3 linked regions of the Oryctolagus cuniculus genome follow. Each later gene encodes a partner of the first gene's protein in a complex. Links are inferred from orthologs where the notes say so. Each region holds a gene or a part of one and is shown on either strand. Other genes may lie near its edges.

Region 1 (3,649 bases):
TTTTCTTTATTGACACAATTGTAGGAACAGTGGTTTTTATTTTGGGGAGCATAGTTGTATTGATGAAACATATATTACATAACTTTTGTTTATTAATTTATTTAAATATTTATTGCTTTATTTATTTTGAAAATCAGAATTAGATCTTCCATCTGCTGGTTCTCTTCCCAAATGGCCAAAACAGCTGGGCCAGATAGAAGCCAAAAGCTTCATCTGGGTCTTCCAAGTGGGTGGTAGAGGCCCAGACACTGGGGCCATCTACTATTCCTTTTCCCAGGCCATTAGCAGGGAGCTGGATTGGAAGTATAGTATCTGGGATACATACCAGTGCCTGTGTGTTATGCCAGCCTTGGCAGGCAGCAGCTAAACCCTCTGTGCCACAGCACTAGCCCCTATTTTACTTTATTATTAACATTTGTTTATTTATTTATAAGACATCTTTAATCTACTGGTTTATCCCCCAAATGGCTGCAATGGCTGTTGCAGGGCCAGGCCAAAACTAGGAGCTTGGAGCTTCCTCTGGATTGCCCCACGTGGGTGTCAGAGGCCCAGTTACTTTGCCAATCTTTGGTTTCTTTCCCAAGTGAATTATCAGGGAGCCGGATCAGAAGTGTAGCAGCCAGGATGTCTGGACTGGAAGTGGAACAGTGCAGCCGGGACTTGAACCAGTGTCTGTATGGGGTGCCAGCACCGCAGGCAGCTACCTCTATGCCATGATGCCAACCCCCTTTTATTGCGTGCTCCTGTCTGCTGATTCACTCCCCAAATGGGACAGCAGGGAGTAGGTGTGGGCAGAGCCAGGAGACTGGAACTAAATCCACATCTCCCATGGGGTCTCAGGAACCCAGTTACTTGAGCTGTCACTACAGTCTCTCAGGATCAAATTAGCAGGAAACTGGAGCCAGCAGACAGAACTGAGTATCAAACCGAGGTGCTCTAATGTGAGATATGGGCATTTTAACCCAAAACCCCAGATCGCTTACGTTACATACAAAGATACGCTTGTTTTGGAAAGTATGAAAAATAAAAGCTATAATGAGCACTCATTTTACCATTGGTAGCCACCATTAATCTTTAGATACGAATATTCTTAATCCTCTGCACTTATTCTAACCTCCTTTTACCCATAACTATGCTTTTTTTTTTTTAATATTTATTTATTGGAAAGAGTTGCAGAGAGAGAGAGAGAGGGGTCTTCCATCAGCTGGTTCACTCCCCAGTTGGCCTCAACAGCCAGAGCTGTGTTGATCTGAAGCCGGGAGCCAGGAGTTTGTTCCAGGTCTCCCACGGGGGTGCAAGGGCCAAAGGCTTGGGCCATCTTCTACTGCTTTCCCAGGCCATACAGAGAGCTGGATTGGAAGTGGAGCAGCTAAGACTCAAACCGGGCACCCTTACGGGATGCTGGCACTGAAGGCAGCAGCTTATCCTGCTATCCCACTGTGCTGTCCCCCATAAACTATGCTTTTAAGATTATTTTGTGACTACCTAGCATTTCATTATGTTACTATTGTGATTCTTGTAACTACTAGGCCCTTATTTTTAACCATTTTATCACATAGGTGTTTAATATTATAATTGAAAGATATTTTAAATTGTATAAATTTCTAGAAATGAAATAATTGGCTCAGTTGGAAATTACTTATCAGGTTTTTTTTATCAGTATGTTCAGTAAAGTGGCTTTTTTACTAAAGTTTTAGAAATCGATCCAAGAGTTCGCTTTGAAAGTTTTTTCTAAATTAATTCGAGTCCAATGCTTTTTCTTGGCATAATAGCTTTTATAATTAAAATAATTACAGCTCAAGATACCACTGCAGTGACCAGCAGTACAATCTGTATGAAGAGGCAAGGTGAAGATTATGAGGGTCCTTTTAGACCTGCAAAAATTATGAAAGAGGGAAGTGTCCTAGATCTTCTGAAAAACCCTGGTAAGATAATGACTGCTCTTGTGATAATCAAAAATCTTATTATACAAACTCAGGACTTCATTTTAATATCACTTGGTGTTGTACTTTATAAAAAAATGCTGACTAATCTGATAGGAGGGGACTTTTCAAAGTAGCTATGTAGATATTAATTCTTTTGTGGGAATTTGTGTGCTATTCAAGGACTTCACTAACATGAGGTCTCTAAGAGGCAAAGGCAGGAGAAAATGAATTATGTGTTATTAGAGCTAGGCCCATGTGAAATAAGCAAATAAGTTTAATGATGTACCTGCACACATGTTCCTCTGATGAAAGCATTCAACTGCCATCTCAAATTATTCTGCAGTTTGGTATATACCAAACAAGGCCACGTTTGATGAATTGTAACATATATGCCCAGAGGAAAGTATTTACCTGAAATGAAGCAAGGCTTGAAAGCTAGTTGGTAGTAGTTTGAAGAAATGAAATATGTTCACAGTTTCAGTTGTGATGTGTAACATAAAAATGTCAAAATGTTCATAGGTAATCTAGTAGTTTAAGAACACTATAGATTTACCCAGCAGATGTCTTTGTTGTAAAATGATTTAAGTATAAGATTTGGCTTTTTTGCATGACTTAGAAGGATAAAGTTTTTGTTCCAGGTGTCATTTTTAATTTGAAAGAATCACACAGAGAGAGAAGGAGAAGCAGAGAGAGTGAGAGGTCTTCTATCCGCTGGTTCACTCCCCAATTGGCCGCAACAGCAGGAGCTGCGCAGATCTGAAGCCGGGAGGCAGGAGCTTCTTCCAGGTCTCCCACGTGAGTGCAGGGGCCCAGGGACTTGGGCCATCTTCTGCTGCTTTCCCAGGCCACAGAAGAGAGCTGGATCGGGAGTGGAGCAGCATGTATATCTAGTGTTGCGTCTGGTGTTGTGGCATAATGATTAAAGCCTCTGCCTGCAATGTTGGCATACCATATGCGCGCCAGTTCAAGTCCCAGCCATTGCACTTCCTATCTAGCTCCTAGCTAATGGCTTGAGAAAAGCATAGGAAGATGGCCCAAGTACTTAGGCCTGTGCCACCCACATGGGAGACCCAAATGAAGCTCCTGGCCGTTGTAGACATCTGGGGAGTGTACCTGATTGAAAAGATATCTCTCTCTCTCTCTCTCTGTAACTCTTTCAAATAAAATAAATCAATCTTTCTTAAAAAAAAAAAAATACTAGGGTTACACTTTGTATTCATAATGTCAAACCCTTGTTTAAGTCTGAAAAATTTGGGAGAGTCTTCATTTGAGTGAAATCAAGACATTCTGAAAAAGTGGGGAGGAAAAGAAATGTGATCTTCCCTTTTTCTTTTCTTTTGGTTATTAAGGTGAGAGACATGGGTCACTGGTGGTGTGTGCAAAATTAAAAGTTAACTGGTCTCAGGGCTGGTGTTGTGACGGTACAGTGAGTGTGACACCAGTATCTCATATGAGTGGTGGTTCGAGTCCCAGCTGCTCTGCTTCCGATTCAGCTTCCTGCATAAAATGCCTGGAAAAGCAGCAGGAGGATAGCCCAAGTGCTTGGGCTCCTGCCACCCACATAGAAGACCCTAATGTAGTTTTTGGGTCCCTGGCTTTGGCTTGGCACAGCCCCAGTTGTTCAGGCATTTGGAAAGTGAATCAGCAGATGGAAGATCTTTTTCTGTCTCTTCTTCTCTGTCACTCTGCCTTTCAAATAAATTTTTTTAAAAAAATTTATTGAT
Region 2 (3,733 bases), on another chromosome or scaffold:
TTCTCTCAAACAACCAGTCTACGTGCCAGATGTCAAACCCTCTGCGACGACACTCAGCACGCCCCTTCCCCTGTCAGGGTCTCAGCTATCCTGTGAGTAAGTACAGTCCCAGCTCCCACACGAAGGTCCTGGGATCTTCCTGATGCCCTTGTTCCTAACTCAGTCTTAGGCCAGACCAGAAAACCACTGCCACTCAGACCGCCCCGCCTAGTCCTTCGCTCGCCCGCCCTGCCCTGTCGCCGATACAAAGCGGCTTCCGAAGCCTACGTGGCGACTCTTACCCTTCGGTCCGTAAATGTCCCCCGGTTGATCTCAGCTAGCCCGCCGCCGACAAGGACCGAGCTCCAGCCTAGGAAGGCCACCCTTTTTTCCCCGCCTGTGTGAGCTGAGAATCAGCCGAGCTCCTTCTACCTAGCGGATTGGCCGGGCCTAGAGTCGGCTCAGCCAGTCGGAGCTCTCAGCGTGATGTTGTCCAATGAGAGCAGGTCTCACCCTCCCAGCGCACCGCCCCCCGCCTGGGCCCGGGCTTTGTGAGGTTAGCCCTACCCACTCCAGACGTAGACCAATGGGGAGCGCTGGAGGTGAGCCGGCAGCCAACAGGGAGCTGGGCCGCGCGCGCGGGGCGGTGGGAATGGCGCCGAGTCGGTGTGTACGTAGGTTGCCGTAACAACGGGCAGCGGAGTGCGTCGGCTATGGTGAGTGCTGGCTCCCCAGTCCGGCCTTGCACCCAGGGACTGAGTCCTTCTCAGGGCTGCGGCCCCGCCACACCACACTGACTCTCTTGCTCACCTTTAGTGCACTGATCCTTCCTTTGAGCTCTTTCCCGGAAGGGTAGACACGCCAGCCACCCCGCTGGGCCTGCGCTTCGCCCTAGCCTCCCCGTCATGCACAGCGGGCCCTTACCCGTCCCTCGGGTCCCCCTGGCTTTCTCTACCCGCCTCGGGGACTTCCTAGGCAAAGAAGAGGGCCCAACCCCTCTCAGATCCTGGCCCTTTCAGATCTTGGCCTCCTCTCTCTGCCAAACTTCCCCCACCTGGGAGGAGCTTTGTTATGTTCTGATTGTTAACTTGTATTTTACAATTTAAATATGGGCATTCCGGAGATGCTTTGAGCATCTTGGGGAGGGCATGAAGGTGCCAAATAGATTGTTTTACTATTTGATATGGACAGAACACTTATCTAAACAACTTAATAATCTTTGGCCAAATCCAGAAGTAATCGGAAAGTCAGAGTACCTCTTGGGAAGCCTAGTACCGCGAGGGGTTGTTTTTGGAGCCAGGATCCCCGCGTTCAGGGAGGGCAGTACTCACTTCGAGTTATCTACAGTCACTTCCTTAGCTAACTGCCTCGGAGTGATGTATCCGAAGAACAAGGGATCTCTTTGCTTCTAACAAATACTACTAAAGAAAAGGGAGGGAGAGCGCTTCACGGGAAGTTTCATTCTTTCCAATAAACCCCATTATCTCTTGTTGAGCAGAAATTGGGAATTGGTTGGTATAAATTAGTTTTAAAAGAGATAGCAGTGTCTGTAACTATGGACTGTATTACATAATAGTGTGCTCATGTGTTCGTATAATTTCTACAGGCCTCTAACTTTAAGAAGGGAAACATAACATCTAGTTCCCAGCGGAAAAGGATGAGTCCTAAGCCTGAGCTTACTGAAGAGCAGAAACAAGAAATCAGGGAAGCTTTTGATCTCTTTGATGCTGATGGAACTGGGACCATAGATGTTAAAGAACTTAAGGTAAGCCCTGCACGTTCTTGCTATACTACCTCTGCTTCTTCCTTACCCTTTCTCTGTCACAACTCTACCCCTTTTGCCCTCTCCTTCCTGTAAAAACTAACAGGGCTGGGATTTTTGTGCTCTCTTTTCCTGTCTTTTATTATGCCAAGTGTTACTAAATAAAATTGACAACAAAGGTCAGTTACATCAATGTTTATTCTGTAGTCATTTTACCATTATTATGGTAGATGTTGGCTTAATATTCTCAACACTTATATTTGCTCCTGCTAGATTCAGATATGCATATTGAGACATTCCTGTTTCCTTACAGGTGGCAATGAGAGCCCTGGGGTTTGAACCCAAGAAAGAAGAAATCAAGAAAATGATAAGTGAAATTGATAAGGAAGGCACTGGAAAAATGAACTTTAGTGACTTTTTGACTGTGATGACTCAGAAAATGGTAAGTTAGCTGAGATAACCATTAGCATGTTTTTTACTCATAGTGATAGATAATGTCTATCTATCTAGAGTAAATGCAAAAATAATTTTAAAATAGTGATAAAGTCTATCTATCTAGTCTAGATGTGAAAATGACCTAATTGGAGAAAAATTGACAAAGATTGGAGAATTCATCTGATAAAAGATAGTATTTTTGACTGAGAATTAGCCTAAATTCTCTTTGGCTTTCTTCAAGGTCACAAACTAATGAAGTCATTTCACCCTTTGTAAAGTAGCAAAAGTGTCATTTTTCACTGTTTTTCCAACTGATATATCTGTGATAAACCCAAATAGAAAAACTGTAGACACCATTCATTTTTAAATGCAAGGTGGAGGGTTAGGGAATGAATCTAAGAAGTTGATTCCCCTGGAAGTCCCTCCTTGGCATTTGAACTAGAGCAAACTCTGAACAGGAGAACACAGCAAAATACCAGGGCTTAGCATGCCAATGTGCAGTGTCAGGTTCACTAGGTGTCTCAGCAGCTGCCTCTAATTCTGTTCTTTGTCTTCTTGGCTTGTATTGTTGTAAATGGGGGGGGGGGGAATGGGCAGTGGTGGGGCTATGGAACACGGGTAACCATGGTGTTTTCCTGATAATGCATTTTATGTTCTACTTGTTAAGTCTGAGAAAGATACCAAAGAAGAAATTCTGAAAGCTTTCAAGCTCTTCGATGATGATGAAACTGGAAAGATATCATTCAAAAATCTGAAACGCGTGGCCAAGGAGTTGGGCGAGAACCTGACAGATGAGGAGCTACAGGTTTGTCATGTGTGAGGCTGGAACGGTGAATTCCCACCGTTGAGCCCTCTGAGACTTCTCTGCTTTTGATTTTTCCCTGGTGGGAAAACCTCTTTGAATGAAAGATACTGTTCTTTGGCCCCTTTGCTAACAACGTAACTTTCCTTTGATAGTCTGACAATCCTATGACCCTGCTTCCAGAAAAATGCATGTGTGTACAGTTTTATTTACTGTTTTAGGTTTTGGGAGTCCTTCTGGTCAAGTCCTTCGAACTTCCTTCCAGGTGACATGTATGACAAAATATGACTTGGTTTTCCAATGACTCTTCAAGAGCCAAGTTATTATAATGTATCGAGTAGACTACAATTGTCTATTCAAATAGCAATGTTAAAGCCTATGATGTAGTCACCTTTTTGTTTATTTTATGAATTAATGTTCTCTGAATCTTTACTGTCATGCAGGAAATGATTGATGAAGCTGATCGAGATGGAGATGGAGAAGTCAATGAGCAAGAGTTCCTGCGCATCATGAAAAAGACCAGCCTTTACTAAGATCCATGTCGTCTTTTCTACTGCAAGCACACCTAACTAGATTTAGTGCCTGCCATTGTGTAAAATCTGGCTTTTGAGAACACAAACTATTTTCTCCTGCACTGACCTCCCTACATAATTTTAGTTATGGCCTCTAATCTATTTCAGACTTTTAAAGTGTTCTTTGATACTCAATCTCTTTGTAAAATGACCTGCTGATTACTTGAGTTCTCCAAAGCAGAA
Region 3 (3,749 bases), on another chromosome or scaffold:
GTCTTCCTTCCATGGGCCTCAGATATGAGTCCAGTGGCAGCAGGGGAGGGAGACAGAATGACCCCTCTACTACAACTGAGTCCTACCCCCCCAAGTCACTGCAGGGGTCCCGCTCCCCTAAAGCAAGATTGTTTCCCAAGGTTCATAACCCTAGTTAGGAGGCATGCCAGCGTGGGTGTCTATTTTTCTGATCACATTCACCTGTGAATTTGGATGTAATCAAAGGTTGCAGTGTGGGGCTGGTGCTGTGGCATCACGGGTAAAGCCGCAGCCTGCAGTGCCTGCATCCCATATAGGGGCCAGTTCAAGTCCTGGCCACTCCACTTCTGATCCAGTTGTCTGCTATGGCCTGGGAAAGCAATGGAAGATGGTCCAAGTCCTTGGGCTCCTGCACCCGCATGGGCGACCCAGAAGAAGCTCCTGGCTGCTGGCTTTAGATCAGCCTAGCTCTGGCCGTTGTGACTATCTGGGGAGTGAACCAGTTGAACAAAAGATCTTTCTCTTTCTCTCTGCCTCTACCTCTCTGTAACTCTTGCCTTTCAAATAAAATAAATAATCTTTTTAAAAAATGTTGAATGTACTGTCATACAATCAAGTCAATAAAGACATCTCTTAAAAAAAAAAAAAGGTTGCAGTGTTTAATGGAGTAGGAGGAAGACAGGAAACACCAAGCAAGTGAGGGAGTGAGAAGGTGGTAGCACAGTGGATTGCAGGTGGATTTGCACTGCTGCAGTCGGTGTCCCAGAGGGTGGAGGGTGAGGCGGAGAGGGAGAGGTGGGGCTGGGTCAGAATAGGATGAATGAAACACAGTGACAGAACAAAACTGCCATCACCGGCAATAGCAAGGTTACAGTAATGTTTAGCAAACGTTGGCTATTATTAAGGAAAATAACCTTTCCCAGTAGAAATTAGCATTTTCCTCAATCCCGAGTACCTCCTACAGCATATCGTAAACATCCACTATGGGCGCTTCACTGCACTGACAGCCAAGAGCAAGCTCAAGGGCGGGACCAAAGGCAAAGTCCTTGCACAGACGCAGCTGAGCAGCATTCAACTGCACACACGATGCTCCTGACCCAAGAACGCCCCATCCACCTTCAGGAAAGGACGCCGACACAAAATGCCCCTGCCCTGCCGCAGCCCATGTGTCGCCTAACGGTGACGCCAGGGAGTCCGGGCAGAATTCTACACACGGAATCCTGACGGCGGGAGAGGCGGCCGCCACCCAGGACCAAACGGCTGGACGTTGCCCTTCGGGGCAGGCCCGGCCCAGCCCCGCCGCCCGCCTGCCCGCCCGCGCCGCTGTTTTTAAAATGGAAACACACCCGGTCCCGCCTCCAGCCGTGAGGACGCCGGGTAAAGGGCGCTGCCCTCCGGAGGGGCCCTAGCTTGGCCTTTTCGAAAGTTCCTGTACACAGGGCCTTCTCTTCTGGGTTCTTCCCTGCCTACTCTCTCTCCCGACCTAAGCCCAGCAACAAAAGCTCACACTCGCCTTTATCCCCCCGGGCTCGCTCCACCTGTCCGCCACGGCCCCACCTTCGCCCCGCCCCCGGAAGTGACGACACCACGCGGCCCTGCCGTTGTCCCGTCGGGCCTCGCGGCGGCGGCGGCGGGAAGATGGCGGCGGCGGGAGCGCTGGAACGCAGCTTCTTGGAGCTGAGCGGAGCCGAGCGGGAGAGGCCGAGGCACTTTCGGGAATTCACAGTCAGCTGCGTTGGTACAGAAGTGGCCGGGGAGGGTGCGGTCCGATCGTTCTCCGCGGTGTCTCCCCTTGGGTCCCTGGGTCTCTGACCCTCCTGTTCATCCTCAGTCCACATGCCCGTGGTCTCTGGATCGGAGAGCTTCCTTGATATCCGACTTCTTCCTTCCTCCCCTTTCTCTTTGTACGGATTGTCAATCGGCCGCCCTCTGCCCGGCGCCCGCTGCCCCTGTCATCCCTAGGGAACCACGTGTGTAGGATGACCGCGTTCATTTTGCAGGGACTGCAAATGTTGTGGCTGGGGCCGCGAAGTACAATGAGAGCGCGGGAGGCTTCTACTATGTGGAAAGCGGCAAACTGTTATCCATCACCAGGAACAGGTTCATTCATTGGTAAGTGCTGCGTTCACCCACCCCTCCCCCTGGAAGTTAGGGTTTTGTGTGGCGGCACCCACCTGTCAGTTCTTGTCGGAATCGGGAAGTTTCTGAGACAGGGAGTTTTCTGTACGATGTACACACACAGGCCCCCAGGTGTCAGTAGAAACAGCGGGAATGTGACTTAGGGAATAAAGCCCAGAAGACCCGTTCCAAACAGGAGCCGATTGTCTTACAGTGCTTTCGTGCCTCCTTCATCCCACCGATAGGTTGGAGGTTCCACATCAGGCGTTGTGCTAGGGGCTGGGCTGAAATGATGAGCAAAAACAATCCCTGCTTTCATCGGCCGGCCGCTGTAACAATGCAGGAATAATGTGGCTCCACCTTTCATGGCACAGTTTTATGAGGGAAAAAGATGTGAAACATAGATGTATGAATACAGACTCTACCTGCCCCAGAGGCATGTGTAGGGGCTGTGAGAGGCTAATGGGGAAACCATCAAGGAAGCCGCAGTTAACCTGAGACCTGAACGACCAAAGGTTAGCCAGGCAAGGAAGGTGTTGGGGGAAAGCAGTCCAGCCTGTAGGGTCCCTGCGTGCAGAGGCCGCGAAGGGGAAGGACGAGCTCGGCAGGTTTGGGGAACTGATTGAAAGTCTGCGGCAGAAGCACAGTGGGCAGAACAGAGTGATGTGAAGGATGCTGAGGCTGGAGCGGTAAGGCAGGGCTCGGACCACAGGGGACCCCCATACACCCAGGTGGTTTTTTTTTTGTTTTAAGATTTATTTATTTGAGGGGCAGAATAATTACAGACAGAGACATCTTCTATCCACTGGTTCTCTCCCCAAATGGCCACAATGGCCAGAGCCAGGGGCCAGGAGCTTCTTCCAGGTCTCCCACGTGGGTGCAGGGGCCCAAGCACCTGGGCCACCTTCAACCGCTTTCCCAGGCCATCAGCAGGGAACTAGATAGGAAGTGGAGCAGCCAGGACTTGAACCCACATTCATATGGGATGCTGCCATGGCAGGTGGATGCTGCCACAGCGCCAGCCCTGACCCTGTTTTTCAGGGTGCTGGATTTTATCTCAAGTACATTGGACTATCATTGAAGAGTTTTAAAGAGTTAATTAAAACCATCAAGACCAGTCTACTTTGTGGAAAGCACATTTGGGTTGGCTGGATATAAGGTGAAAAATCAGTTTACTTTTATGATGACCAAAATGTGGGAGTGGCTAGGAAAAAGGAAATAGGTGGTTTGAAAATATATTTAGAAAGTAGATTGAGTAGGACTTGGTGGTAGACTGAATGTGGGCAGGAAGCGGTAAGGGGAAGGAGAGAGCAAGGATGGTGTCCTGGTTTTGGCTGTGACTAGTCTGGTATGGGGTGGGAGGGTGCCAGTGACTGAGATATAAATGGAAAGGTGTGAGTGATTCTTCTGAACATACTAGATTTGAAGTGCTAGTGCAGCAGCCTTCTGAGGGTGTCAAGAAAGCATTGGCAAGGTATATGTCTGAGTCTCAGAAGAGAGACTTAAGTTAGAGAAATCTCCTTTACTTAAGAAATATTTTCCATGCCTAATATGTTTCAGTTAATGTTTAGGGATTAGGGATATAGCAGGGAACAAAACAAAGTCCTTGCTCTCAAAAAGCAAGCAATAAGCAATAATAATAATAATATTGC

The links.
Region 2: NUP153 (region 1) and CETN2 share a complex: the UniProt entries of both Homo sapiens proteins name them as parts of the nuclear pore complex. The link is inferred for Oryctolagus cuniculus from reciprocal best matches to the Homo sapiens genes NUP153 and CETN2.
Region 3: NUP153 (region 1) and NUP160 share a complex: the UniProt entries of both Homo sapiens proteins name them as parts of the nuclear pore complex. The link is inferred for Oryctolagus cuniculus from reciprocal best matches to the Homo sapiens genes NUP153 and NUP160.

What each region holds. Positions count from the first base shown.
Region 1 is NC_091436.1:144,878,118-144,881,766, reverse strand, and holds part of NUP153 (nuclear pore complex protein Nup153), read left to right. Parts: intron 1-1,796; coding exon 1,797-1,925; intron 1,926-3,649. UniProt on the Homo sapiens protein: Component of the nuclear pore complex (NPC), a complex required for the trafficking across the nuclear envelope. Functions as a scaffolding element in the nuclear phase of the NPC essential for normal nucleocytoplasmic transport of proteins and mRNAs.
Region 2 is NC_091453.1:131,267,377-131,271,109, reverse strand, and holds the start of CETN2 (centrin-2), read left to right. Parts: upstream 1-912; 5' UTR 913-1,127; coding exon 1,128-1,133; exon of another isoform or gene 1,134-1,490; intron 1,491-1,585; coding exon 1,586-1,744; intron 1,745-2,054; coding exon 2,055-2,183; intron 2,184-2,843; coding exon 2,844-2,981; intron 2,982-3,421; coding exon 3,422-3,511; 3' UTR 3,512-3,733. UniProt on the Homo sapiens protein: Plays a fundamental role in microtubule organizing center structure and function. Required for centriole duplication and correct spindle formation. Has a role in regulating cytokinesis and genome stability via cooperation with CALM1 and CCP110.
Region 3 is NC_091432.1:18,169,572-18,173,320, forward strand, and holds the start of NUP160 (nuclear pore complex protein Nup160), read left to right. Parts: upstream 1-1,356; 5' UTR 1,357-1,617; coding exon 1,618-1,717; intron 1,718-1,979; coding exon 1,980-2,091; intron 2,092-3,749. UniProt on the Homo sapiens protein: Functions as a component of the nuclear pore complex (NPC). Involved in poly(A)+ RNA transport.